Elephas maximus indicus: one gene and its partners. The protein of the gene in region 1 purifies or fractionates together with the protein of each later gene. This does not show direct contact. Links are inferred from orthologs where the notes say so. Each region holds a gene or a part of one and is shown on either strand. Other genes may lie near its edges.

What was found.
Region 2: the proteins of PPP2R2B (region 1) and PPP2CB purify together in Homo sapiens (affinity purification with mass spectrometry; 5 studies listed by BioGRID and IntAct, with this or other methods). This does not show direct contact. The link is inferred for Elephas maximus indicus from reciprocal best matches to the Homo sapiens genes PPP2R2B and PPP2CB.
Region 3: the proteins of PPP2R2B (region 1) and ECSIT purify together in Homo sapiens (affinity purification with mass spectrometry; 3 studies listed by BioGRID and IntAct, with this or other methods). This does not show direct contact. The link is inferred for Elephas maximus indicus from reciprocal best matches to the Homo sapiens genes PPP2R2B and ECSIT.
Region 4: the proteins of PPP2R2B (region 1) and PABIR1 purify together in Homo sapiens (affinity purification with mass spectrometry; 4 studies listed by BioGRID and IntAct, with this or other methods). This does not show direct contact. The link is inferred for Elephas maximus indicus from reciprocal best matches to the Homo sapiens genes PPP2R2B and PABIR1.

Annotation. Positions count from the first base shown.
Region 1 is NC_064820.1:161,175,194-161,182,458, forward strand, and holds the start of PPP2R2B (serine/threonine-protein phosphatase 2A 55 kDa regulatory subunit B beta isoform), read right to left. Parts: upstream 3,003-7,265; 5' UTR 2,709-3,002; coding exon 2,630-2,708; intron 1-2,629. UniProt on the Homo sapiens protein: The B regulatory subunit might modulate substrate selectivity and catalytic activity, and might also direct the localization of the catalytic enzyme to a particular subcellular compartment.
Region 2 is NC_064840.1:69,435,664-69,443,228, forward strand, and holds the start of PPP2CB (serine/threonine-protein phosphatase 2A catalytic subunit beta isoform), read left to right. Parts: upstream 1-4,548; 5' UTR 4,549-4,900; coding exon 4,901-5,002; intron 5,003-7,565.
Region 3 is NC_064821.1:29,504,010-29,511,502, reverse strand, and holds the start of ECSIT (evolutionarily conserved signaling intermediate in Toll pathway, mitochondrial), read left to right. Parts: upstream 1-4,484; 5' UTR 4,485-4,572; intron 4,573-4,766; 5' UTR 4,767-4,904; intron 4,905-7,493.
Region 4 is NC_064827.1:10,663,459-10,670,330, reverse strand, and holds the start of PABIR1 (PPP2R1A-PPP2R2A-interacting phosphatase regulator 1), read right to left. Parts: upstream 3,009-6,872; 5' UTR 1-3,008. UniProt on the Homo sapiens protein: Acts as an inhibitor of serine/threonine-protein phosphatase 2A (PP2A) activity. Inhibits PP2A activity by blocking the substrate binding site on PPP2R2A and the active site of PPP2CA.

The DNA of each region.
Region 1 (7,265 bases):
CAGGAATTATTGAAGTTTTTAAAGATGTTCTAGAATTACTCTTAAGAGGGTTGTTCAGATCACTTGTATTTGTTTGACTTTTGCGGGGATATACACAAGTTATTCATTCTTCACTCTTCAATTGAATAAAATATGAAGTTCGTAGTCATAATTTTTCCAAAACAGCCTACAGGGTAACATGACTGCTAACAGCATAAGAAGAAAAACACAAACCAAGATTCGTATTGAAGTATTTTTCTCCTTAGACAAACTTTAAAGAAAAAAAAAAAGTGTAATTCATTCCTGGTGACTCATTGATAAGAATGGTGCAAAAGACAAAGAAAACTTGAATATCCAAGAAAACACATAGGGTGTGGGACTCAGAAATAGCACCTATCACATGCTAAGTAGTACTAAGAACTTTGTATTATCTCACTGAATTCTCATAACATCCTGGGAGTTATTTTATTTTATTTACTTTTTATTTCCATTTTATGCATAAAAATGGGCACAGAACAGAGCAGTTACTTGGCCCTACTTGCTTAGCATACAACTCATACCTTTTCCCCTCTCCCCAGTGCCACATCCATGTGTTCATGTGTCCATGTGTCTGACAGGTGCTATTACCCTTGCTGTTATCTTTATTAGGCTTACAACAAATGTAGACATGTCTCCCTACTCCCTCCCTGCCCCCAAATCTGGTGATAGTGGGTTAAACAGGGATTTTTAAAAAATATATATATATGAACAAAATGGGGTTTCCATTTTGATTGGATAAATCAGTGAAATTTTACTTAAAATAAGAATTTAAAAAGTTCTTGTTCCCTCCCCTAGTCCATAAAGAGCACATCTCCAGGGCACTTGCCCACAGTCCAGGTTCTTGCACAAACCCAGGGAACATCAAGCTGAGAAATGATCACTGGTACACTCCTGGTAAATTCTCTTGATTCACCAGGGGGAAACACAATGCCTCAAAGCATATTTATTATATATCAAAATAGTACTTGTAAAAGTTGTCAATGGAATGTGTAAAAAAATCTAATAAATATGTCCGATAAATCATGAAAAGAAAAAAGTTCTTGTGTTTTTTTGGTCCATATGATGTGAGATATTTAGTTTGATTAATATACAAAACAGCAACTGAATGGAACAGTGTTTGGGTTCTCAAAGTCGAAGTTGGGGGGGAACCTATCAGAAATGTAAAAATCATCTAGATTTTTTGGATTTGATTTAGGTTTTTTGTATTTGGGACATATACTCTGAGATTTTGATCCTTTCTCCTTACTCCCAAATATATATAGGGGCTCACTAGGTTTTTCTTCACGATGGAAGACAGATTTCTCAAAAGGCATTTTCCTTTAAAAATTTAGCCACCAAAAAAAAATTTTAAGGGAAATATCCGATTGAAAAAAAAAATCTATGAAATGTCAATGTCTATGGAAAATACCATCCTCAGTCCCAATTCAAGGGGGATCCCAAACTCTGCTCTCTTTTCCCTGTGGGTACTGATTGAAAACCACCCAATACTACAATATATTTGGGTTATGCTCTTCTCATTTTATATACACAGCCCCTAATCCCAGGATCCCACTCTGAGGATAAGAAACAAGGGTGGGTTTTCAGAACAGGCTGATTAACGGGCTGGTCCTCCCAGCTCAGTTCCAGAAGAGCTTGGACTTGAGGTGGAATCCCGCCACCTCACCATCTATCCCCAGCCCTCTTCAATCCAGTACCGCTTGTAGGACAACCCCTAAAGCTGACAGATGGCCAGGCGGTTGCTTTTTTTGAAACTGCTCTTTTCTAAGGATGTGCTAGATTAAAAGAAACAGGCAAATTGCATATCTAAGATGCACAACCAGCTACTGATTATAAAAAAAAAAAAAAAGAAGAGCTGAAATCTGCAGAGCTTGGTTGAAGGTGAATTACCAGAATGTTTACAGTGTGCACACACGTGCACACAGAAAGTACACACACATGTTTGCAGATCATGCTGGGTAAGAAGGCAGCAGAGGAACTCCCCCAAAGGAACAAAAACTGGGGGGTGTTTACACAAAGCTCAGCTCACCCTCACCTTAAGCCTTAATTTAGGATTCCCACAAAACCCATTTCCAGCAAGTGCTGAAAGTCAGCTGTGTTCTTGCTGCTCTGTCACCTAAGCACAGACTTCCAGTTAACTAATCAAACCATCAACACTACACAGCCAGGTAGTAAGCTCCTTCTATTTTGCTAATTGCGCTGTTGGCATGCACCAAGTTATTAAACAAACAGTTGGCAACACAGAGAGCTTAGGTAAACGTATGTGGCAGCATCTACTGAAATGTTTTCTCTTGACGCTAGTTCCAATGACTTGTTTGCATGTTAAGTGGAACAAGGGAAATTGGAAAAACATTTCTCAATTATTTTCCAATCAGCTGTATCAGCTTGGAGATCACCTTTTCAACATGACCCTGCCTCTCAGAAAGACTTCCTGTTTGCTAGTAGAAGACAAGCTGATTTTCGAAGCAGATCTAAGTCTGTCAGATACCAGCTTTTGCCAGGAACAGCAGTCATCTAGTAGCTACAGAAAGCCGTGTCAGCAGAGCCTGTGGCAAGTCATACACCAGCCCAGTTTTTCCCACCCACCCAGATACTCTCCCTCTCTGGTCTGTACCTTCCGTGTGGCAGCTGGAAGAGAGGATGGTGTTCGGAGGTCTGAAGATGTAAGGCAGGTAACGAGAGAAGCATTTCATCTTCCCCAAAAAATAAAAAATAAAAACCTACATAAAAAACCAGTCTCCTGAATCCATAAGGATTCCCTGGGCCTTTAAAGCTGGCTACATCACCAATATGTTTCTGTAGGCTCTCTTCCAGATCTGCAGAGTGGGGAAGCCCGAGGAATCACTGGAGATGGGTCCCATTTTGCCATCAGCGCCAGGAAGCACTGCCTTACATTTCTGCATGCAGCTCAAACTCAGAAGCCCCAAGCAAGCCGGGATATAGCTTCTTCATTGGCTGCAGCTCCTCCGAGCAGGATTTGCTGAGTAAGTCAGTCCTGCCTGTAAACACACGCTGAAATGCCCTGCCTGAAACCTCTACCTTTTCCCTGTGGTCAGTTTCTCTTTTAGCAACAGAAATCCAGCAGGATATGGGAGTCGTGGGGATAAGTGACCATCTCTTATTTAGCTGAAAGATCAGATGAAACAAAGACAGCATAGTGTACCGCCCTGGAGAGAGATAGCTGTTCAAAGGAGCCACCCTTAAGACCTCAGATCTCAGGACTATTAAAGTACAGTGCAATGAAATGGGTCTCTGTCCCCGCTTAATCTAGATTTAGTGCGATTTTTTTTTAATACCAAAACCCAAACAATAGGACCATTTATCACTTAGGTGAAGCCCAAAGCTGGGCTGAGTAGTCAGTGACAGAGAGCTAACACAGACAGTCTGTGCTCCAACACGGCTTTTTTTTCTTTCTTTCCTGCCAGCACTCACATTAAAGCAGTAACTTAGTTCCGAGTTATCCGCTGTACAAATACAAAACCACAACACAAAAATATAGACTAAACCTGAGGAAGCCAACCCTTCACCAACTCATGCACCCTGAGGGCATACGAAAACATGGAAAAAGTAAGTTGATCCAAAGATTATACCAACTTTACCAAAATTCTCACTGAAGTTTCAACCGAGAGAGAGACGGAACTTTATATACACAGCCCCTAATCCCAGGCTCCTACTTTGAGGATAAGAAACAAGGGTGGGTTTTCAGAACAGGGTGGTCCCCAGCTCAATTCCAGAAGAGCTTGGATCTGAGGTGGAGTCCCAGAAGTTGAGGTTGCTAAAGGACATGGCCAATCACCAAATATAAGTACTTTGATGTGCAGGGTGATGGTTTGGTTTTGGCCCATGAAATAATACTGACTTTGAAAAACTTATCACTAGAAGACAAGCACATTGTGTCAGTTTGGAATTTATAAGATCTGTCAAAGACACTATTGTGTTTGACAAAGAGAAAGAGATGAGTATCCTTTTTGATGCATTCTGAGACAAAAGGAAACAATTTAATAGTCTGGAGAAGAAAACCAATATTCCCCTGAGTGGGATTTTAAAAAACAAGGTTTATGAAAATATGTTAGGATATTTTTTTAAGCCTTTATGGGCTCGCCTCTTTGCAAAAATATTTAACTTTCCATTGGAGGATGTGATAGTCTGTCCAGAAAAGAGAAGTCTTGGAGCCATAAAGCAGTTACAGTACCAGTACATGCTATGATAATGTAAATTGCTGGCTTCACCGATATGCCACCTTTCTGGTTTTTGGACCATTGTAACATGAAGACATGGGCGGAGCCACACCATTTAGTCCTGAGATAATCATTTAACACATCACCCTCCTTAGATCCAGGGACCCGGCAAGGTAAGGCCATCCAATGTAAGGTACTGTTTAACCAACACGTAAATGGTCAGCTTTGGTTGTGTGGGTATCTCAGACTTACCACAGAAGAATGTATCCTTAGGTATCTTCCTGAGAAATGTTTTACATACAGCAGCAGGCAGAGTAGAGGTATATTGGCTTTGGGGCCAATCTGACCCAAGTTTGAATTACAGTGAGTTCATTTACTGATTGGGGAGACATGAAATATAACACCTGTGAGCATCAGTTTCTGCATCTACAAAATGGTAACAATAATAATGTTTTCCCTGTACATTTCTGAAAGAAATAAGTGAGAGAATAAGCATTAAAAAAAAGCATAAAGCACCTGGCATATTGTATGTGCTTGGTAAACTACCAATGTTGCTGTTATTGCTGGCATTCTCTGATCTTCTGCAGCCATGTGTCAACTCAAGAGCAGCCAAAGAGTGGTTAGACAGCAAGTTTACTTCTGCCTTTGATATTGACTTACTGTGTGACCTTGGGAAACTCAACATCCCTAAGCCTCATTACATATATAGTAAGGATGATAATAGAATCTTGTGATTTTGTGAAGGCAAAATGAGTAGTTCATATAAAGGATTTAGCACAGTGCCTAGCACATGGCAAGTGCTTCATAAGTTTTATTATTATCTATAACAATAATTTTTTTTTTATAACAATAATGGAGCCCTGGTGTCATAGTGGTTAAGAACTTGACTGCTAACCAAAAGTTCAGTAGTTAGAATCTACCAACCACTCCCTAGAAACCCTTTGGGACAGTTCTACTCTTTCCTATAGGGTTGCTAGGAGTCAGAATCGACTTGATAGCAACAGTTTTTTTTTTTTTTTTAATAACAGTAAAATTAGCTCTTAATCATAGTATTTTACAGCATTTATTTACCTAGCTTGTCTAAACAATAAAATTGTAAACTTTCTGAGGGAGAGATCAATATCTAATTCATTTTTGTATCCCCAGTGCTTAGCCCAGTGGCTGGGACAGAGCAGGTACTCAATAAATGTTTGTGGAATGAGTGAGTGAAAGAATGAATGGGGAGGGTGGAGCCAACATGGCACCCTAGATAGACATGCCATGCCATCCCTCTGCAGCAAAGACTTGAAAAACTAAGTAAAACAGATATGAAAGTCAATCCTGGAACTCTGGAACAAAACGATAAAGAACTGGATCAAATACTGAATGGAAGAAGAAACTGATAGAAAACAGAGAACAAGGAGAGATAGGGAGTAGAGGTCCCCTGCCAACTAATACGGTACAGCATCACCATCTTGAAGCACAGCCAGCAACTCCTCCAGACAGGGAGTATGAGAAGGCAACTTCATGGAGCTCCCAGCCGGAAACAGAGCACCCAGTAACCAGGAAAACATGCTTACCCACCCCTTACCTTCTGGTGAATTGAAGCAAGAACCCCCCCTCCCAGAAGCCCCCACCACTGGGATCCATCATATGAGCCCCACCTACTCCTAGCCTCGGCCTGCCCCACCCCCTCTGGCTGCACAGTTTTTTCTTCTTTCTTCTTTTTCTTTCTGCCTCTCATCTAGTCTGGTAAGTCACCTCCCCTCCCTTCCCACTGGCTCCCCCGAGTCCACCCCACCCCCACCCAACTGCTTCCACTGCACTGCCATTTTTTCCCCTTTCTCCCTCTCACCTAGCCCTGTATGCCATCCACTCCCCTTCCCGCTGGCCCCCACTGAGCTGCCATGGCTAGAGAGCTACTAGCCCACAGCCACCCTGGTTCTGCCCAGCCGCCACCTGCCAGCTCCTGCCACACTGCCTTTTTTCCCCTTCTCTTCTGTGCTTTCTTTCTTTCTCCCACCTATCCCCATGCATTACCACCCCTCCCTTCCCACTGGCCTCGGGGGTCACCCCATCCCCACTCCCGGCCCCCACTGTGTCTGTCACCATTTAAAAAATATTTTTTCTTTTCTCTTTTTCCTTTCTCCCTCCCACCTAGTCTCATACGTCACCTCTCCTCTCTTCCCACTGGCCCCTGGGTCCACCTTGACCCCGCTGTGACACCATTTATTTTTAATTTTTTTTCTCCTTTCCACCTAGCCCCGTATGTCACATACCCTCCCTTCCCACTGGCCCCCGGGTCCACCCTGCCTCCACTCGCCGGCCCCCACCATGCGACCATTAAAAAAAAAATGATTATTTTCTCTTTCTTTTCTTTCTCCCCCCTACCTAGCCCCATACGTCAACTCCATCCCCTTCCCGTCAGCCCCTGCCATTCTGCCACAGCTAGAGAGCCACTGGCCAGTTGCTGGCTCAGGTCTACCCCACCCTCACTCTCTGGCATCCAACTTGCTGCCATCTTTTTCCTTTTTTTCTTTCCTCCACCCACCTAGCCTCATAGGATAACCTCCCTCCCTTCCTGCCAGCCCCCGCCATGCTGCTGTGGCTAGAGAGCCACTGGCCATCCACCTGCCACTACCCTGAGTCTGCCTCACCCCCACCCGCTGGCTCTCACCATGCTACCATTTTTTTTCTTCCTCCATCAGACCTAGCCCCGCATGTCACCTCTACTCCCTTCCTACTGGCCTCCGGTTCCACTCCGTTCCCACTTACTAAGCCCCACCATGCCACCATTCTTATTTATTTTTTTCTCATTTTTCCTTTTCTTTCTCCTTCCCACCTAGCCTCATATGCCATATTTCCCCCTTTTCTGCTGGCCCCTGTTGCACTGCCACAAGTAGAGCATCTCCAGTGCTCAGACCTGCCACCACCCCAGGCCGGAATAATCCCTCCCCTCCTGCCACTTGACCAGCTACTGAATGGTAGGAAGTGAGCCCATACCACTCCTACTCTGACACCCCCACTCGCCTGGCAAAGGGCTGCAAATGCTCCCATACCACTGGACCAACATGAGGAGGCAGACAGAACCTG
Region 2 (7,565 bases), on another chromosome or scaffold:
CGCGTTGAACACTAATGACCAAAGACCGTACGATTGTGGAATGACATCAAGAATGTCATACATTAAGTGAGAGGTCATTAAAAAGACCGGAGAGAAAGAAAAGGAGGTGACGTGATCAGGAACCGATGGTACCAAAGGAAGAAGTCCAAGCTGCACTGAAGGCATTGGCAAAAAACAATGATCTGGGAATTGATGGAATACCAACTGAGATGTTTCCACAATTGGATGCAGCACTGGAAGTGCTCACTCGTCTACGCCAAGAAATGTGGAAGACAGCTACCTGCCCAGCCAACTGGAAGAGATCCATATTTATGCCTGTCCCCAAGAAATGTGATCCAACTGAATGCGGAAATTATCAAACAATATCATTAATATCACATGCAAACAAAATTTTGCTGAAGGTCATTCAAAAACGGTTGCAGCAGTATATCCAACAGGGAACTGCCAGAAGTTCAAGCCAGATTCAGAAGAGGATATGAAAGGAGGGATATCGTTGCTGATGTCAGATAAATCTTGGCTGAAAGTAGAGAATACCAGAAAGATGTTTACCTGTGTTTTATTGTCTATGCAAAGGCATTTGACTATGTGGATCATAAATTATGGATAAGACTGCAAAGCATGGGAATTCCAGAACACTTCATTGTGCTCATCCAGAATATGTAAATAGACCAAGAGGCAGTTGTTCAAACAGAACAAGGGGATACTGCATGGTTTCAGTCAGGATAGGTGTGCATCAGTGTTGTGTCCTTTCACCATACTTATTCAGTCTATGCCGAGCAAATAATCTGCGAATCTGGACTGTATGAAGAAAAACGAGGCATCAGGATTGGAGGAAGACTCATTAACAGCCTGAGATACACACGCCACAACCTTGTTGCTGAAATGGAAGAGAACTTGAAGTACTTACTGATGAAGATCAAAGACTACAGCCTTCAGTGTGGATTGCATCTCAACATAAAACAAAATTCTCACAGCTAGACGAAAAATTCTCACACCTCAACATAAAACAAAAGTTCTCACAGCTGGACCACTTACCAACATCATGATAAAGGGAGAAAAGATTGAAGTTGTCAAGGATTTCATTTTACTTGAATCCACAATCAACGCCCATGGGCACAGCAGTCAAGAAATCAAACAGCCCATTGCATTGGGCAGATCTGCTGCAAAAGGTCTCTTTAAATTATTAAGCAGCAAAGGTAGCACTTTGAGAACTAAGGAGCTCCTGACCCAAGCCATAGTATTTCCAGTCGCCTCATATGCATGCAAAAGCTGGACAATGACTAAGGAAGACCAAAGAAGAATTGATGCCTTTGAATTATGATGTTGCCAAAGAATATTCAGTACACCATGGTTGGCCAGAAGAACAAACAAATCTGTCTTGGAAGAAGTAAGGCCAGAATGCTCCTTAGAAGTGAAGGTGGTGAGACTTCGGGCATGTTGTCAGGAGAAGGACATCATGCTTGGTAAAGGAGAGGGTCAGCGAAAAAGAGGAAGACCCTCAACGATATGGGACACAGTGGCTGCAGCAATGGGTTCAAACATAGCAATGATTGTGAGGATGCATGGGACTGGGCAGGGTTTCGTTCTTTTGTACACAGGGTTGCTTGGAGTCGGAACTGACTTGATGGCACTTAACTTACATGATAAATTCGAAAAGGTCTTTTTGGACCACATTTTGGGCAGAAGGCTGGGACTAGGGGCAAGAACTATGCTCTTTTTAGTAATAATGATTTGTAGCTTTTAATTTCAAAGAAAGAATTTCAAATTTGATTTTTTTTATTCCATCATCATTGAAGGAGATCTTTATGTACATTCCCTATATCAATTTCAATATCATAATTCAAATCCCAATTGTCAAATGGTTTTTGAACTCTAAAACTGTTTTCAATCTTTTGAGGATTATGGATATGTAAAAGGATCTTTTTAGACCAATACAATATATAATCTTAATGTAGTGTGTAAGTCTCTGGATATATCACAAGATATAAATGATTCATGTTTCAAATTTTTTAATGGTATAATTTTTAAAAAAGCCTAGTAAATTGTATAAGAACGAGATCAAACATGTGATTTTTAAGGCTGAACTCGTTTAAAAATTCTTTGATCCAAAGGGGGAAATAAACAGAATAAACGCGAGAACACTTGTAGTAAGGAAAGAAATTTGTAACCAGACTACAAACCCAGGGTTAAATGCATCTTTGCATGACAAGCAAGGATTGGAAATTGATGGCTCCGTTTCACAGGAGAAAATAACCAATATGCAAACAAACATGAAGATGGCGCGGGGCTCCGCAGAGTTGTGTTCTGTTGTGCATAGGGACATTGTGAGTTGGAGCCCACTTTGCAGCAGCTAACAACAAGTTGACACACACGTACATACATACGTAAACCAAAGAGCAAAAAAAGCTTTAGGATCATAGTTTTTGTTTTCAATTAGGATGCTAGAAATAAGACTTTCTTGACAACCGAAATACCAAAAATTGATACTGCATACTCTTGCCAGATCTACCAACGTCCAGCTTTCCCTAGTCTGTTTCAGACTGCAGAGACCATAAAACAAAGCATGGGAGTGGAAGTCTGGGTTTTAATCCTTCCTCCAGCAGTTACTCTGTGAATTGAACAAGTTTTCAAGGCTGTATTTCTCACATCTGCAAAACGGAGGGTAATAATAGCACCTGCCTCAGGGTTGTCGAAAGAAGGAAACGAAAATATGTAAAGCAGCGTGTAGGAAGCGTTCCAAAAAGTATTTGCTCTACAGCACTACTAGACAAAACTTTCGGAAGCACTGCTTTCACCAGGTCACCTCCCCACGCCAACTTAGCAACACGCTTTCACAGTGATTCCACACACATTTGCGTCTTTCAAGGACCTCACTTCCTAACCACCATAATTCTCATTTCTCCTCAAGATGTGTTTTCTCAGTCCATCTTTGGAAACTCTGAAAATACCATAATCGTTCTTTCATTCTAAGCCTTTGAGGTTTAGCTGGTATCCAGCCTCCTTCAAATCTTTATACTGGAGCCCTGGTGGTGCAGTGGTTAAGCTTTTGGCTGCTAACCAAAAGGTCAGCGGTTCGAACCCACCAGCCACTCCCCGGTTCCATAAAGATTCACAGCCTTGGAGACCCTATGTGGCAGTGCTACTCTGTCCTGTAGGTTTGCTCTAAATTGGAATTAATGGCAATGGGTTTGGGTTTTTCAAGTCTTTATAGACTAATCTCGAAGATTGCATATCAAATATATACTGGCACGCTTTCTATTCAGTGGTAGTGTCATCATTTCATGTTTTGTTCAGTTGGTTTGCCACTATTGACAAGTAGCTTGAGAGCTTGAGCTGTACCGGCCTTATTTCCCACCATGTGACCTGTTTAGTTGCTGGAAGTATTTATAGCTTTCCACACAGACAGTGGCTTTTCACACATTTGTCCTCAGGCACAAAAAATTCTTTTGAACTACTTTTCTCCGGGTAACCTCAAAATTTTGCCTGGGGGGAAGGCTTACAATTCGGTTTCAATGCCACCTTCCCAAAGCTTTCTGCAGCGGTTTCCTAGGAGGGATAAAGCAGCTGATGTGTTGGTCCCATGCTGTCGTAGTGGACAAGCTGAAAGGAAGGCCTTTGAACACGTGAGGAATCCGAGGCTGGGAGAGGTTTGGTGATTGCCCAAGGAAGCAGCTACGAAGTTGGCAAAGCCAAGGTTGGAATCCTTGCTGCCTTGTACGGAACGATGCCATCCACTTGGGTTCAGCTGCAGTCGTACGTATGTGTCTCTAATAGAGACAGTGTGGTCTTTTAACATCAGCTCTACACAGTATCTGGCAGTTAGCAGCTATTTGGTAAATAGATGTTGAACAAACAAATCATTAGAACTCCGTGAACGTTGGACTAAAGGTAAAGAATGCTGGAGCTGGAAGGGGCACAGACTGACATGATTCAGAACAATCGTCTCGCCTATGTGATGCTGAAAGGATCCGAGATGTTAGGACCCACAGCTAGTGGCTGAGGCAAGACTAAAACCAAAAAAATACCCAGTGCCATTGAGGCGTTAAGACTCATAGTGACCCTACAGGACAGAACTGCCCCATAGAGTTTCCAAGGAGCACGTGGCGGATTCGAACTGCCGACCCTTTGGTTAGCAGCCATAGCTCTTAACCACTATACCACCAGGGTTACCAAGAGACAAGACTACAAGTAATTTATTCACTAGATAAATATTTACCGAATGCCTACTGTGGGGGAGTGTCTGACTCTGGACAGACAATATTGTCCAGAAAAAGCCCCAGCTTCCCAATTCCCTGTTCAAAGCACTGGAAAGCAGTGCAGGAGCCTAAGGTAAAAGTGCTGAGAAAACAGGAAGTGAAGGAAGAACCAGGAAGGCGGGATTGGGGGGTAGAAGAGAAAAGAGGGAGCTGTTTGGCCCTCTTGGGCCGTTTCTCCGCCGAGCCACGTGAGGGCGCTGCTCCGCTCCTCGTGTCGCCCGACTGCGCCTCCGCCTGCTCTTTTTTCCGCCGGAAGTGCCGGGGCAATGACGGAAAGCCGGAGGGAGGGGAGAGAAAGAGCGAAAGAGAAGGGCCGAGAGAGCCGGGAGAGGCCGGCGGGCTGGAGGCGGCGGTAGCGGGCGGCCATCGTCCGGCAGGAGCTGCGCCGAGGGCCCGCGCCGCGCTCCGCCTAGCTCCCCGCGCCCTTCGCCGACTCCGGGGGCGCGCGGCCGGGCGGGAAGGGCGGACAGGGGTCTCCCCGAGGCCGTGCGCCCGGAGCCGCCTGCTGGGCTTGGGCGGGGCGCGCGGCCCGCGGCCGCCCTGCCGGTCTCCGTCCTCTCCCGCCGGGAGCTGGCGGCGGCGGGAGAGGGGAGCGGCGCCCGGGGCGGGGGGCGGGCAGCGGCGGGGACGGGGATCGTGGCGCCATGGACGACAAGGCGTTGACCAAGGAGCTGGACCAGTGGGTCGAGCAGCTGAACGAGTGTAAACAGCTCAACGAGAACCAAGTGCGGACCCTGTGCGAGAAGGTGAGAGAGGAGAGGGGAACGGGGAGCGCTGGGCGGCGGCGGCGGCGACCCCTCCCGGGCCTGCGGGTTCCGTGGCCGGCCCAGCCTGCCGAGGGGTCCCGCCGGCCTGCGCCCCTTGTTCCGAGGGCCAGCCCGGAGGCCGGGCCAGACCTTTCCAGGGCTGCGGCCTTGAGCTGCCCTCGCCAGGTTGCTCTGCCTCCTGGGGTGGGTGGGGGGGACGAACGGGGCACCCCGAATCCACGCCCCAAGTTTAATTGGGGTCGCCTGCAGTTGTGGGGTCTTCACGTCACTCCTGCATTTCACGTGTGGATTAGCGATAGCGGCGTATTCAAATACCGGGAAATTAGTCTAAGGCAGTCCCTTGACTTGAAAATGCACCCAAAATTAATATTGTTGATATTAATAAACTTGCTTTAAAACGTAGAATTTCCTCAGGTGAGCGGGAGCCTTTCAAAAATCGCTAACTTGGATGCGTCTAGTGTTTGTAGAGAAGGGGGTGTAATGGCAAAACCGGGTTTTAAAACAGTGGTTGAGTTCGGGTTCCACAGATGGTAACTGGTTTTCAGGTTGAGTGGCTCTTGGAAGTTAAATGTGGATTTTCAGCAACGACAGCCAGGCTTACGTTTGGGAACAGTGCTTGCTTAGAATGGTAAATAGGATATGTGTTTTTCGTACTGTATTGCGCTTTTCAAAAAGTCGTTTCCATTTTAATTGTAACTTTTTTTTCTTTTCCAACGTACTCGTATGGTTAACTGTATATGATCTTTCCTGATTGTGTCATTTTAGCTTTCGGAATTCTGTATCCATTGTTGTCATAACTACTGAAGTTACTTCGGTTTCTCCATTGTATTTTAAATCCAAGGATTTTCTCATCCATCTCTTATAGACTAAGTAGTTTAATTTTCACATATTTTCTCGTTAAAAGGCTCCATTTGAAGTCCATGAAAGTGTAACAAAATTACTTATGCTTTATTACTTTTTTCAAAATCTTTTTAAAGCTGTAATGTATGAAACTTTTGATCATAATGTTTTAAAGTCATCATGCCCCAAAAATGTACTGGAGAAGGAAATATCTTGTCAGTCTTATTAATCGGGTGCTCCTAAAATTATACAGCTTACTTTGGGGTGAAGAAGTAATGATTAGTACTAAGTTAAAATAGTATTTTTAAATGAGGTTTAGTGTTCTTTTTAACAAATATGATGTTGCCTAGGGTCTTTACATAACTATTTGTTAAAACAATTCATTTCTGTAAGTAAAACTGCCATGTAAATAGTTTACTTGTAGCTTCAAATAGACATTCAATTTGCTTGTGTGCTAACCTGTAATTTAGTGAGTCTTAAAATTTGCGTTTTAGATAATACTCTCTCAAACTCTAGTGTCAAGTTAAACACCCAGTTTTGAAATCAGCTGAATCAGTTAACCTCCTATGAACATCGTATGTATATATTCTTGAATTTATGGACAAACTTGATAGTTGAGTCAGTTTTTCTGACAAAATTTTAAGATTTATTTCTATAGAAGAAAATTGTGCCTCTACTTGGAAATAATCATACTTGAGTCTTAACATTCTTATGAGGAAGCTTTCTGTATTTATCAAGAGGTACTATTTTTATTTCAGCTTCTAAATATACTGGGCCTCCAGTTCCTAAGGCCTTATTGGTATATTTAAAGTTACGTCGTGTACTTTTTTTTTTAATCCCATTTTATCTTTTTATCCTAAGCTTATATCTTGTACTTTTTCTTTGAATATTTTTACTTATTCACAAAAGATGAATTTTTTGAATGATCCCCAACCGCTTTGTCTTCCACCATTTTGATGGAATTGACACACAGTCTGGCCATGAATTGGAATCGACTTGATGGCAAAGGATTTCTTGTATATTTGTTTTCCCCCATTGGATGGAGATGTGGAATAGAATCCCTTTTTCTGCTTTTTTGAACAATACATAGTTTCGTATTCTTCTAGCAACTGTGGTGTACCTTTATGGTATATGTGTTCCTACCAAAGAAAAATCAAACCCGTTGCCATCGAGTAATTTCCGACTCATAGCAACCCTATAGTACAGAGTAGAACTGTCCCATAGGGTTTCCAGGGAGCGGCTGGTGGATTCACACTGCTGACCTTTTGGTGAGCAGCTGACCTCTTAACCACTGTACCACAAGGGCTCCAATTGTAGCTATAAAATCCAGAAAAATACAGTCTCAGTGAGTATGTCTAGTGGTTCCTGTTATCGAAAGTGCAAAATACTGGGGTAGGATTGTGTGAAGTAGCTTTACTCCTAACTTGACCTACTTAGTACTTACTGTACCCTTCCAGATCGAGAATGGCAGATACATAGGAAAAATAAAAGAAAAATAAAAAGTCAAACCTAATTATAAATCACCTTTTTTTTTTTTTTAATTTTTTGCACCCTGCTGGAGATAAAACTATAGAAAGTTATGTTTTAAGGGATTTTCACCAGTATGGTGGTGGTTTTTCTATTAAATTTAATTTCTGTTCTAACTCAGATTACCTGAGAACCGAAGGAGTTGGCTGAAACCAAGACAAAGTAGCACTAGGAA
Region 3 (7,493 bases), on another chromosome or scaffold:
AGAAGTCCGAATTCAGGGTGCCAGCTCCAGGGGAAGGCTTTCTCTCTCTGTCAACATGGAGGAAAGTCTTTGTTATTAGTTTTCCCCTGGACTAGGAACTTCTCAGCACAGGAACCCTGAGTCTAAAGGCCACGCTGTGCTTCTGGCTCCAGTTTCTTGGTGGTATGAGGTCCACCCGTCTCTCTGCTCCTTCTGTCTTTTATATCTCAAAAGAGATTGGGTTAAAACACAACCTAATCTTGTAGATTGAGTCCTGCCTCATTAACATAACTGCCTCTAATCTCATTAACATCATAGAGGTAGGATTTACAACACATAGGAAAATCACATCAGATGACAAAATGGTGGACAATCACACAATACTGGGAATCATGACCTAGCCAAGTTGACACATATTTTTTGGGGGGGTACAATTCAATCCATGACAAGTGCTTACTATAAGCAGGCACTGTGCTAACCTATTTGCATTGTTTCATTTCCTCCTCACAACAGCCTTATGAGATGCTTTCATTATCCCCATTTTACAGAGGCAAAGACTGAGGCTCAGTGAGAGAAAGTCACATCCCCAAGGACACACCAATTATGAGGGGCAAGGCTGGGACTCAGCCAAGATCTGCTAGACTCTCAAACTGGCACTCCATAACCTAGCACACAGTACACATGGGCGGGGTGGTGGGGAGATAGCTTGTGGTGTCTCAGGGGTCTTTATAGGAAGCAGTAGAAGCCAGAGAAGGTGCACAGTAACACAGGAACATCTGATCTCCCTGTTGCAGAGAATCAGCACCAGGTCTAGGGTGAGGCAGTGGTCAGAGGTGGGAAGGGGATGGGGTGTGACCCCCAGTCCCACCCAGCCAAATTTTACCTGCCTACCATACAGCAGATAACCAGAAACATCAGCCACAGTCTATAGGTGAGGGGAACGAGGGACCCACTGACCCTCACCCTGGATTGATCTGGCCAGTGCAGCTGGTGGCCTGGCATGGAGGAGTCAAGGCCCTCAGCTCTGCACTTGGCTGGGGTAGAGAGAAACTGTGTGTTGGCACATGAGGCTCCTTAGTGGGACCAGCCTTACTCTGGGAAACTTCCTGGAGGGGTCCCTTTCTCACCTGGACACCCTCCAGCAGTGCTGCCGGCTCTCCACCTGCCCAGAAGCAGGGAGTAGGAATGGGGTGAAGAGGGGTCTATCCATGGGGGCCCAGCTGACTCTTACAGAGCAGGGATTGATACAGATGGCCTGTACAGAGAACAAGTTGTACAGGCCAGAGCGCTAATGGTCAGGGGCAAGTTTGGCCACACCTCTACTTAATTCATGCCCCCCCAGCCCCCCCCACCCAGCTACCTGGACTCCCACTCAGGTGTCTGTGTGGGTCCAAGGCTCTGTGGGCAAGAGGAACAGGTGTGGGCTGAGCGCCCTGGAGCTCATTTGATCAAAATGAAGTCAGGAATCAGAACCATGGGGGCCACAGGTACGGGCAGGGATGTGGCCACGTACACACCCCAGTCACCTCCTCTTCCTGATTGCCCAGCTCCTACAGCCAGAGAGGCAGATGCCAGCTGCACCACCTCCAATGTCGCCATGCTCCAAGGTAAGGCAACAATCTGGGGATCTGCCTGGTGCACACGGGGGAGCAGAGGCACACATCCAGGGACCCAGGCACTGTGTCTCTGTGGTGCGAGGGATCACTTTTGTGTGGCCTTTCTCACCATGGTCTTGTAACTCCCACCCAATACTTGGTTGGAACTGTACAGATAAGGTAATTGTGGTCAGTTTTGCCATCCCACTAGGCTTAAAAGAGAGCCAGTTCCAGGCAAAGGCAGGATCTCATTCACAACCATCAAGGAAGAATAGCCAGGAGCAGAGTGTGTCCTTTGGACCAGGGATCCCTACAGCACTGAGAAACTTCTGGAACCAGGAGACAGTCAGAGTTGTAATACTGAAGATGGTGAGAAGTGGTAGCAGAGAAAGAGCAGAGGAGAGACTGGCAGGGACAGCACAGTGGGCTTCCCGGCACACGGAGCAAAAAAGCTGAGTGCTTTTGGGCAGGAAGCTTGGTGGCAGAATAGGATGCCTCCAAGCACTTGGTGGAGTTATGTTTGCCGACCCATGGAGCTAGCGCTGAGTGTATTCTGGCTGAGGCTTACTGGTGGAGTGGGGTGCCTGGGGACGCTTCGGGCAGAGCTAAAAGAGCTTTGTGACACTTGCCTGAGCAGGGAAGAGGCAGAGAAAAGCAGTGGCATGACTGGGAACAGACTGTCTTGATGGAAGAACTGTATCCTATGTGTTCCTGAGCCTGTTACTTCCCTAATAAACCCCATAATCATGATTATTATCTGTGAGTTCTGTCTGGCCATTGCAATGAATTATCGAACGCAGCAGAGAAGTAGAGAGTGCTATGGGAGAGACTGTTGTGTCAGAATTGGTAAAGATGCCAGAGAGAGGAGGCATGTCTGACCTCTGCCTCGCAGGAATCAGCCTTGGGCTGTTGATCTTGATTCTCCTCTCCCCCTGTGAAACTAGAGATCAGGTGCCGTCCCCACACCATATTTACAATCTCACACACACAGGGTCACACATTCAGGATACAGCCAGCCCTGGGTAGGTACTGGGGATCAGACACATAACCACAGGCAGAGAGATACACACGGAGTGCTACAAACACAGTCACAACCCCACACTGTGGTCAGATATACACTCATACACAGAAGGAGTCTAGAGACACACTATTGTCACAAACATAGACCAGCCCACACGCAGATAGCTAGACACAGTCACAGAATCACTGAGACACACTTATAACCAGGATCATCACAGACATACACAGTGCCGTAGAAGTCAATGGCCAGGAACAATCACACACATACAAGTCAAGGACACACAGAGTGTCACAAACACAGTAACAAACACACACTGGTTGGAACACAACCACACATGGAGTCCCACAACATCAGAGACTTTGGCATGGTCAGACCTGTTACACCATTGCTGAAACACAATCAAAATCACACACATGGTGTGCCACACACTCACAGAATCACAGACTCACTCACTTGTAATTAGACATACAATCACACCCAGAGTGACCGATCTGGGGTATCACACACAGTCACATGCACTCCGATGATGGGACACAATCATGTATGCATAAGTCATAGACATACAGTGTGACAAATACAGTCATTTATCCACTGGTGTTCAGACATGCAGTCATACACACATTAAGGCACAGGAACAATCACAGAAACATTGACACACATACTGCCAGCCCCTTGACTTGTGGGGCAAATCCCCCTTCCCACACGCACAGAGTCACAGACACCCAGAAGCTAGTACACTAAGAGTCACACATGCAGCTACTGACAAACACACAAGAACCCATGAGACACTCACTATGACATGCTGTCACACACACCAATGCCCAGACTGGCCTGGGCACCACCCCTGACCCACACTCACACAGCCGCACATACACCTACACGCCTTTGCTTGAGTTTGGAGATACAACAAAATGCACAACCCCCTCCCACCACACACACACACACTACCACTCCAACATTGCAGTGACATTCCTCCTCCCACAGTTCCAGGACACATTCATGAACACACACACAGCCCCACACGACCCTCAGCCCTCAATGAGGGTGGCCCAAGGGTCAAACCAGACTCCTTCGTCCCAGTGGGGTGAAGAGGGGGTTGGGGGGGTGGGGTGGGAGAGGAAGGCTGAGGGTGAATCCCGCATGATAACAGTGGTGTTGTTGTATGCCATCAAGTCGATTCCTACTCATAGCCACCCTATATGACAGAGTAGAACTGCCCCATAGGGTTTCCAAGGAGTGGCTGGTGGATTTGAACTGCTGACCTTTTGGCTAGCAGCCTGAGCTCTTAACACTGCCACCGGACTCCATGATAACAAAACAATTTATATGGCTGTTCTCCAGGGATTAATTCAATTAAACCTCAAACAACCCTATCAGATTATTATAATTGCCCCATTTCACAGGTGAGACAATGGAGGGACATATGGGTTAAGCACTTGCCCAGAATCATGGACCTAGATTAGCAGAGCCTGTCTCTTCCACTAGTGTCAGCGCTGTGACACTCTAGTTTTGTTCGCTGCTGTATGCTCAGGGCCTAGAACTGTGGCTGGCACACAGTGAGTTCTCAATGGATGTTTGTTGAGGGAAAGAAGGAATTCACATCCCTTCCAACTTTGATAAGTTGATAATTCAACTCTGCGTCTCAGGAGGGAATACCGGAGGCTTAGGCTGGGATCACAGTCCCCCGAAGTCCAGCTTCCCAGTCTGGGACCGGCTCAATCACTCCTTCCCCAGCCATAGTTCACGGTTCCCAGGTGGAGGGTGCGGCTTGCCTTGTTAAGGGCGGGGCCTGGCTCGTTATTGGTGGGCCTCCCAAGGTAGGCGGAACATCTCTAAACTGGTCTTCACGATTTGCTGCTTTTTTTTTTTTTTTTTCGGGGAGAGGAGACGGTAACCCGGAAGCTCTTCGGGTCAATATGGCGGCGCCCAGCTGGAAGATAGAACCGGTCCGGTGGCCGCGGCCGGCCTCATGAGGAGGTAGGTCACGCGTTGGAGGGGGAGGGAGAGCTCCTAGGCCCCGGGGTGGCTCGTTCCGGGTCCGGGAACGCGGAAGGGCGGCCCCACAGGGACCCATCTGCAGGCCTACAGCGCCATGACCTTTTGAAGTGCGGGGCGGGGACGTAGAGGAAATCGCTCCCGCAGCCTCACATACTTTATTTCCCATTTTGTAGATAAGACAACTGAGACTCAAAGAGGTTAAGGCCCTCGCTCGAGATCACGCTGCAAGTCCGTAGCAGGCGAGAATTCGAACCCGTGTCTGCCAGTTGTTCTTGAGACGCAGAATCTTGGCAGCCAGCCGCAGCGCTGCTGTACGTACACCCATTCAAGGGGTTCAGGTTTATAGAGGTTTTGTAGAAATTTAGATCTTATTTCCTTTCAATTTGATAGTTGTTGGGCAACTGCCATTACCAGACACTGCCCCAGGTGCTGGGTACACAGCAGTGAACAAGACAGACAAAAATCCCGTCTTTTCTGGGTGAACGGGACATTGAACAAGTCAGAAATAAATGAAACAGATGATTTCAGCTACTGATCATTGCTGAAAATGCATTAATCTTGGTAATGGAGGCTTTTTAGATGGTGGGCAGGGCGGTCAAGGGAGGCGTCTCATTTGAATGGAAATCTGAATGACCAGAGACAGCCCTGGGGAGGTCTGGGGAAAGTTCGTTCCAAACAGAGGGAAAAGCAAGTGCAAAGATCCTGAGACGAATAAAACTTGGCTTGTTTAAGAAACAGTGTAGCTGGAAGAGTAGACCCTGTGGGATTTTATTTTAAGCGTGTGATATACATTGGAGCCCTGGTGGCTTAGTGGTTAAGAGCTATGGCTGCTAACCAAAAGGCCAGCAGTTCAAATTCACCGGTTGCTCCTTGGAAGCTCTGTCCTATAGGAGCGCTATGATTTGGAATCGACTCCACAGCAAAGCGTTTTGGGTTTTAGACCATTCCTGATTTTAGGCAGAGTGCACTAAAAATAACTTACATTTAAAAAAAATTCCTCTGACCACAGTGACGAGAACTGACTGGAGGCAGGTAAAGGTAGAGGTGGGAGAGGCTGAGTAGGTGCCTAGGGAGAGGCAATGGATTGGGGTCATGGCCTGTGAATGAAGAGAAATGCATGCATATGGAATCAATTTGGGAATAGTCAAATTGATGGATTGAATGGGGGAGTGAGGAACTTGGTGGGCTCAGAGCTGACTCCTAGGTTTGTGGCCTGAGTAACTAGGAATGGTGGTGCCATTGCCTGTGATGGGGAGGAACAAGCTTAAGCAGCGATACCAGTTTGGAGCAAGTTAAGTTTGAGATGGCTGGGTGTACATCAAAGCGGCAGTTAGGTATCGAGGCTGGTGCTCTGGGCTGGTGTTGGAGATAAACATTTCAGAGCTGTTAGCGCATAGGTCAACACTTATTAGACTTTAATACACACAGGAGACGCCTGGAGCTCTTGTTAAAACACACATTCTGATTCAGCAGGTGGTGTGGATTAGGGCCAAGATTTTGCATTTCTAATAAGCTCCCAGGTTATGCTGAAGCTACTAATCCCTGGAACACACTTTGAATAGCAAGGATTTAGAGCAGCGGTTCTTAATCCTAACTGCATATTAGAGTCATTGGTATGCTTTAAAAATTTGGTGCCTGGGCCCCACACCCAAATATTCTGATTTTGTTTATTTGGGGTGTGGCCTGGGCATGAGAATTTGTTTTTTTAATTTTATTTATTTTGTTGTTGAGAATACACATAGCAAAACATAACACCAGTTCTGCAGTTTTTACATGTACAATTCAATAACGTTGATTGCATTCAGTGACGTTGATTACATTCTTCAAACTGTATAACCATTCTCACCCTCCTTTCTGAGTTGTTCCTCCTGCATTAACATCAACTCACTGCCCCCCCCCAAAGGCTCCTATCTAATCTTTTGAGTTGCTGTTGTCAATTTGACCCCATATAGATAGATCTTAAAAGAGCACAATGCTCAAGGCAGACATTGTTTACTAGTTAAGCTAAACTACTGTTTGGTTTTAAGAAGACTTCAGGGTATATTTTTGGTTTAAGGTTCAAAGATTATCTCAGGGCACTAGTTTCAGGGGTTCATCTAGCCTCCAGGGCTCCAGAAAGTCTGGAGTCCATGAGAATTTGAAACTGTTCTGCATTTTCCTGGGCACAGGAGTTTTTTAAAGCTCCCTAAAAGATTCCAATATGAACAAAGTTTGAGAACCACCAGGGCTGTATATAGGAAATACAAAGATGAGAGGAACAAGTGAAATGACACTGCAGGGAAGCAAGCAGACAAATCCACAATGTGAAATTCTTTGCAGTCTCATTACACAAAGTGTAGTCCCCAGATCAGCACATCAGCCTCATCCAGGAGCGTTTTGGATGTGCAGAGTCTCTGGCCCCAGCCCAGATGTGCTGAATCAGAATTGGCACTTTAATGAGATCCCAGATGAGTCATCTGCATATTCAAGCACTTGTGAACATTGCAAAATTTAGAGAAGGAAATGTATCCTGCTGATTGATAAACAGAGAAAGTAAACCAAGAAAATATCTGAGTGTTGAGAAAAAGGCGGGAGGGTAGGTCACTTGTACCAGGTGCTTCTGAGAAATTGAGCAAGACGGAGTCCTGAGAAGTAACCGTAGCCTTTATAAGATATAAAACACAGAGGCCTTTACAAGAGAGATTTCATTGGAATGGTTGGAGGAGCAGCCAGGTTAGAGAGAGTGAGGATGGAGTTGTAGTGTGTAGACACCTCTGGGGAGAAATTTTGCTATAAAGGGAGCAGATATGTGGGACAGAGGTTGGAGGGAGACCTGGGGTCAAGATGGGAGATGCTAGAACAGGTTTAAATGGTGATAAGAATGATTCAAACACTTCCCAACTCATTATATGAGGCCAGCA
Region 4 (6,872 bases), on another chromosome or scaffold:
TCAGGATCCGTGCGCATCCTTTGGATCCAGGGTCCCTGTGCTAAAAAGCTCCCAGACCAGGGAAAGATTGATGACAGGGACCTTCCCCCAGAGCCAACAGAAAGAAAAAGCCTTCTGCTAGAGCCAGCGCCCTGAATTCAGACTTCTAGCCTGCTAAGCTGGGAGAGAATAAACTTCTGTTTATTAAAGCCATCCATTTGTGGTATTTCTGTTAAAGCAACACTAGATGATTAAGACAATAACTCATAAATTGTTTACTTAAACCGAGAATACGGTGGTGCCATTTACTGAGATGAGGAAAGCCAGGGAAGCAGCAATTTGTTGTTTGCTCTGTTGAGTTGATTCTGACTCACACCAATGTGTGCAGAGTAGAACTGTGCTCCCCAGGGTTTTCAAGGCTGTGACCTTTCGGAAGCAGATCACTACACCTGTCTTCCAAAGAGCCTCTGGGTGGGTTCAAATTGCCAACCTTTTTAGCTAGTAGTTGAGCACTTAGCCATTTGCAGCACCCAAGGACTCCTGGAAATCAAGTAAAGCCCACAAAACTCTTCATGGCATATGGGTGCAGTCCTAAAATCCTCTTCCTGGGCCCCCCCCCAGTTGCCGTCAAGTTGACTCTGACTCATGGCGACTGGATATGTGCAGAGTAGATCGGCTCCATAGGGTTTTTGAAGCTGTGACCTTTCGGAAGCAGATCCCCAGGCGTGTCTCCTGAAGGATCTCTGGGTGCGTTGGAACAGACAACCATTCGCCTAGTAGTCAAGCACTTAGGAGTGGAAATTAGGATTTCTGTTTGGTCGTGTTGCATTGGAGTGGCTTTTAGACACCTATATGGCTCCTTGAACTGAAACAGAGCTTAGAGACTTTTGTCCAACCCCAGCAGTTTTTGCAGCTAAAGGAAATAAGATGCAGAGAGGAAAATGACATATTCACCATCACACGGCTGATTAGCAGTGGGGACCAGGACTAGAGTCCAGGTCTCTTGGTTCCTAGCCCACATCTCTTTTTGCTGTGTCTCAAACAAATTTTAATTTGATGCCCTTGATGGTAAAAAAAAAAAAAAAAAAAAATGGAGCCCCGGTGGCATAGTGGTTGGCTGCTAACCAAAAGGTCGGCAGTTTGAATCCACCAGCCTTAGAAACCCTATGGGGTGGTTCTACTCTGTCCTATAGGGACACTATGAGTTGGAATTGACTCGACAGCGATGGGTTTGGTCTTTGGTTTTGATGGTAAAATAATGTCAGTTATTCATGCCTACAATTATAGAAACTGATTTAAGCTTTCCAAGTGCTAGGCACTACTATTCAAAGTGCTTCGTGAGTAGTATCTCATTTAATCCTCCCAACAACTCTACGAGGTAGGTGTTATCATTACCCCCATTTTACAAGGAAAGCTGAGACACAGAGGTTAAGCAGCGTTCCCAGAAAGTGGCAGAGAACTTGGGCTCTCTGGGCACGATGCTGCCTACTCCAAATACGGTGACCTTGCAGATTACTAACAGCTTTGTGAATGGCACTTGAAAGAGGCTTTGAAGTGAGAGATGGCATTTCATATAGAAGTGGCAGCAGAAGTAAATACAAAGGAGTGAATTTGGCCATCTTAGTCACCTAGTGCTGCTATAACAGAAATACCACAAGTGGATGGCTTTAACAAAGAGAAATTTACTCTCTCACAGTCTAGGAGGCTACAAGTCTGCATTCAGGGTTCCAGCTCCAGGGGAAGTCTTTCTCTCTTTGTTGGTTCTGGGGGAAGGTCTTTGTCATTAATCTTCCCTGGTCAAGGAGCTTCTCAGCAAAGGGACCCCGAGTCCAAAGGACACGCTATGCTCCCAGTGCTTCTTTCTTGGCGAGGTCTCTCTCCTCACCTCTCTCTTTTATACCTCAAAAGAGATTGGCTTAAGATAGAACCTAATCTTGAGTCCTGCCTCATTAACATAACTGCCACTAATCCCACCTCATTAACATCATAAAAAAAAACCCATTGCCATCGAGTAGAGGTAGGATTAAAACACATATGAAAATCACATCAAATGACAAAATGGTGGGCAATCATGCAATACTGGGAATCATGACCTAGCCAAGTTGACAGATATTTTGGGGGACACAATTCAATCCATGACATCGGCTAACACATCAAATACATGGAGAAGAATAAGTAACGGGAAAAAGTTGGAGATGGAAGTCGGAGTCAGGGAATGGAGCATTGAACACCAGGCAAAAGTGCCTGTATTTAGTCTGTGAGGCAATAGGGAGCCAAGGTAGATTTTTGACAAGAGGAATGGCATAACGAGGTCTGAGCTTCAGGATGCGGCAGGTGGATCAAGGATGCAGTGACATGGAAGAACAGAAAGGGAAAAGGACCGACGTTTTCCAAGTGCCTCCTACCTGCCAGGCACTTGAAACAATCCCTCCAGTTATTGTCTGGTCAACTCTGACTCATGGTGACCCCGTGAGTATCAGAGTCGAACTGTGCTACACTACCAGGGCTCCTTAATATCCATAATATTAATTTGCAGATTACTAAATCATTACCTAAAGAGTCCTGGTGGCGAAGTAGTTAAGAGCTCAGCTGCTACCCAAAAAGTCGGCAGTTGGAATCCACCAGCCGCTCCTTGGAAACCCTATGGGGCAGTTCTATTCTGCCCTATGGGGTCACTGTGAGTCGGAATTGACTCGAGAGCAAGGGGTTTTAATCATTACCTTACTAAGGTGGCTGGGATGTGCCAGACATTGTCTAAGTCTCGAAGAACACAATTACTGGTTGTAATTTTATTACCAATAAAACACAGTGATGAAACATCTATGCCACTTGGCTCTTGCTTGAGTACATCTATCAGAGAACTTAACTGGCTTCCCTGTTTCCACCCTGTCTTTGCAATCAGCTCTCCACCCAATCTTCAAAGCAATCCTTTAAAAAAAGTTGACTCATGTCATTTCCCTGAGCAAACGCTTCTGCTGTGGATTCCCACTTAGGAAAAAGCTGAGGTCATGATGGTGGCCTCCTGAGCCTTGTCTAAGTTGGGCTCTTGCTGTTCCTCTGACCCCGCCTCCCTCCCCTCCAGCCAAAGAGGCCCCTCACTGCTCTTCTGCCCACCAGGCATGCTCCCCTCCACATTGGTTAGTCTTCTTCCAGGTATCCACGGTGCTTAATCTAGTCAGAGGTGCCCAGGTGGTACAGTGGTTAAGCACTCGGCTGCTAACTGAAAGGCCAGCGGTTCAAACCCACCAGCCACTCAGAGGAAGAAAGATGTGGCAGTCTGCTTCTGTAAAGATTTACAGCCTCGGAAACCCTACAGGGCAGTTCTACCCTGTCCTATAGGGTCACTATGAGTAGCAATTGACTGGGCAGCAGCGGGTTTGGTTTTTGGTTTAATCCCTTCACGGCTCTGCTCCAATGTCATTGGCTGAGAGGCATCCCTGACCTTCCCTTATAAGCAGCACCAGCAGTACAAATGTAGCTTTATCCAAAAGAGGGGAGAACTATTATTTGAATATCCAGGCGATCCAGGCTTCTCTAGGCTGGCTCTAAGTCAGCCTTACTTGGGTGATTCTTTCTCTCACATGGAGGTCATAATTGTTAATTATACTGTTCATCAGCCCCTGCAGGTGGGTTACATCTGTTACATAAACTAAGAAACTGAGGCCCTGGTTTCCAGTCTTTTTCAGCCATAGGCTGAGATATACTTGATAGAATTAAAATGCCCAGCACAGAGGATGCTAATCAGTGTTTAATATATTGAGCTACTGCTTCCTCTCAAAGAAATCAAAGATAAGTGAGAGAAAATAGCAGCCATAATGTGCATTTCAGCCTGTTGCAAATGACTGATGCCAAAGGCGGATCCAGTGGACCTTTCTTGAGTCAATTCGGCCTTCCGGCTTCAGTCCGAGTATGAATTACATACCACATGCAAACACTGGGCATTCATGCTCACTCCTGAGTCACAAAACCAGACATCTACTCAATAGTCAAACTTTATTCCGATTAATATTCGCTTTTTTAAAGTTACAGACAATGTCCTTTTAATTCCTAAGGGCAATTATTCACTATGAACCTCCAAGCACGTTGTTGTTAGGTGCTGTGGCGCTGGGTTGGACTCACAGCGACCCTACATATAAAAGAATGAAACATGACCCGGTCTTGCACTGTCATCACAATAGTGGGTATGTTTGAGCCCATTGTTGCAGCCACCATGTCAATCCATTTGGTTGAGGGTCTTCCTTTTTTTCGCTGGCCCTCTACTTTACCAAGCATGGTATCTTTCTCCAGGGACTGATCCCGCCTGATAACATGTCCAAAGTAAGCAAGTCAAAGCCTCACCATCCTCACTTCTAAGGAATATCCTGGCTGTACTTCCTCCAAGACAGATTTGTTTGTTCTCCTGGCAGTCCAGGGTATATTCAGCATTCCCCAAGCATAATCCAAAACCACCAAATCCACTGTCGTTGAGTCGATTCCAGCTCATTGTGACCCTAAAGGACAGAGTAGAACTGCCCCATAGGGTTTCCAAGGAGTGCCTGGTGGATTTGAACTGCTGACCTTTTTTTGGTTAGCAGCAGTAGCTCTTAACCACTATGCCACCAGAGTTTCCCCTCAAGTGTAAGACAAGGCAAATATTCACCTACGGATACACAGTGAATGAATGTGAAATACAAATGTGTGTGTGTATGTAATCTGCGATGGACTGGCAGATACTTCAACATACAACATCAACTAGCACTGCCATCCTAGAATAAAAATGTTACAGAGGAAAATTGCACTTTGAAAGTACAGGAACTAAAGGAGTGTTAATTGGTACAGCTACTTTGGGAAAATGTAGAAGGACATCATGCTTGGTAAAGTAGAGGGTCAGTGAAGAAGAGGAACACCCTCAATGAGACAGGCTGACACAGTGGCTGCAACAATGGGCTTATGCATAACAATGACTGTGAGGATGCTGGAGGACCTGGCAGTGTTTCATTCTGTTGTACACAGGGTCACTACGAGTCGGAAATGACTAGAGGGCACCTTACAACAACACCAAAAGAAAACATATGCATGCCCTATCACTAACCAATTCTACTCCTGGTATATAACCCACACATTGCTGTTGAGTCAATTCCAACTCATAGCGACTCTACAGGACAGAGTAGAACTGCCCCATAGTTTCCAAGGAGCGCCTGGTGGATTTGAACTGATGACCTTTCAGTTGGCAGCTGTAGCACTTAACCACTACACTTCCAGGGTTTCCTCCCGGTATCTACCCAACAGAAATGAGTGCTTATGTCCATCAAAAGACATGTACGAGGACATCCCTGGTAGCATAATCAGTAATAACTAAAAACTAGAGAAAACCCGGATGCCCATAACCAGGAGAATGGTGAATAAATTATACAATGGAATTCTACACTCAGCAACATAGATGGATCACAGTATAACATTAAATGAATGAAATCAAACACAAAGGAGTACATATTCTACAACTCCATTTTCATGAAGTTCAAGAGGAGCCAAAACCAATCTATGGAAAGAGAAGTCCAAACAGTTGGTCACCCTTGGGATCACTGACTATCAGTGAGGGAGGGGTAAAAAGGAAATGACCCAAATTCTGATCTGGGTGCTGCTAGTACAGTCTACACAAATGTAAAAATTCACTGAACTGAATACTTGAGATTTATATACTATACTGTATATAAGTTAGAACTCAAAAATGTTTTTAATATAGAAAAAACAGCATGGGTACATGGAATGTAAATGGGGAAGTGTTGTTGGGGGCCATTGAGTCTATTTCAACTCACAGTGACCCCATATGACAAAGCAGAACTGTCTCATTGGGTTTCCTAGGCTGTAATCTTTATGGGAGCAAATGGCCGGATCTTTTCTCCCACTGAGCCGCTGGTTAGTTCTAACCACTAACCTTCCGGTTAGCAGCCAAGCGTTTAACTTGCCCCACCAAAACCAAAACCAAACCTGTTGCCGCCAAGTTGATTCTGACTCACAGCGACCCTATAGGACACAGTAGAACTGTCCCATTGGGTTTTCAAGGAACAGCTGGAGGATTCAAACTGCTGACTTTTTGGTTAGCAGCCGAGCTCTTAACCACTGCGCCACCAGGGCCCCTTAAATGAGAACTATAGAACAGAATAAGACGTGAAGACCTGGCAATGCATGTCAATTGGAAGTAAGTTTAAGTTCAAACACTAACCATAAGCCTAACTCTCAACTGGGATGCTGAACTCCTAAATCTGACAGAAAAGGGTCAGTGGAAGAGCAGCTAGCTGGCCTTGACAGTAGAAAGGAGAGAGAAACACACACCAACCACACACACACACACACACTCAGGCTCCATCTCATTGGGGGTCTAAATACCATGAGGCCCCAGCACCCTCACATAAACACTGGAGATGTGTGAGGCTGGTTGCCGATCACCCAGGGTACCATCAGCTCTTCTTGCCCCCGTTTCCACAGTGCCTTCGAAGTGAGTGACTTCTAAAGAGCCAGCAAGAAGGAAATGAAGCCCTTTTTACTGCCTGTGACTTTCTCAACTGCACTCTCTGTGTAGGCTGCTCAATCAAAGTTGGCTCGGTTGCCTTCACAGCGGTATCCTCCCAGCATAATTCATGAAATGGCACAGAGTCAAAGGAGTGTCAGTGGAACTCGGCAGGGGCTGTGAGAACATACGTGGAGAGCAGGGATTATGTTTAAGTACGGGACACATTTTGTTATCACGGTGGAAGAAGAGATTATCTCGTGGATGAGCTTAGAAGCTGTTATCAACCATTCTATAATTGCCCACAAACAACTACTGAGAACCTACTAAATGCAAAGGAGCCCCTGGGAAGTGCAAATGGTTAAGTGCTTGTTACGGATTGAACTGTGTTCCCCAAAATGTCTGT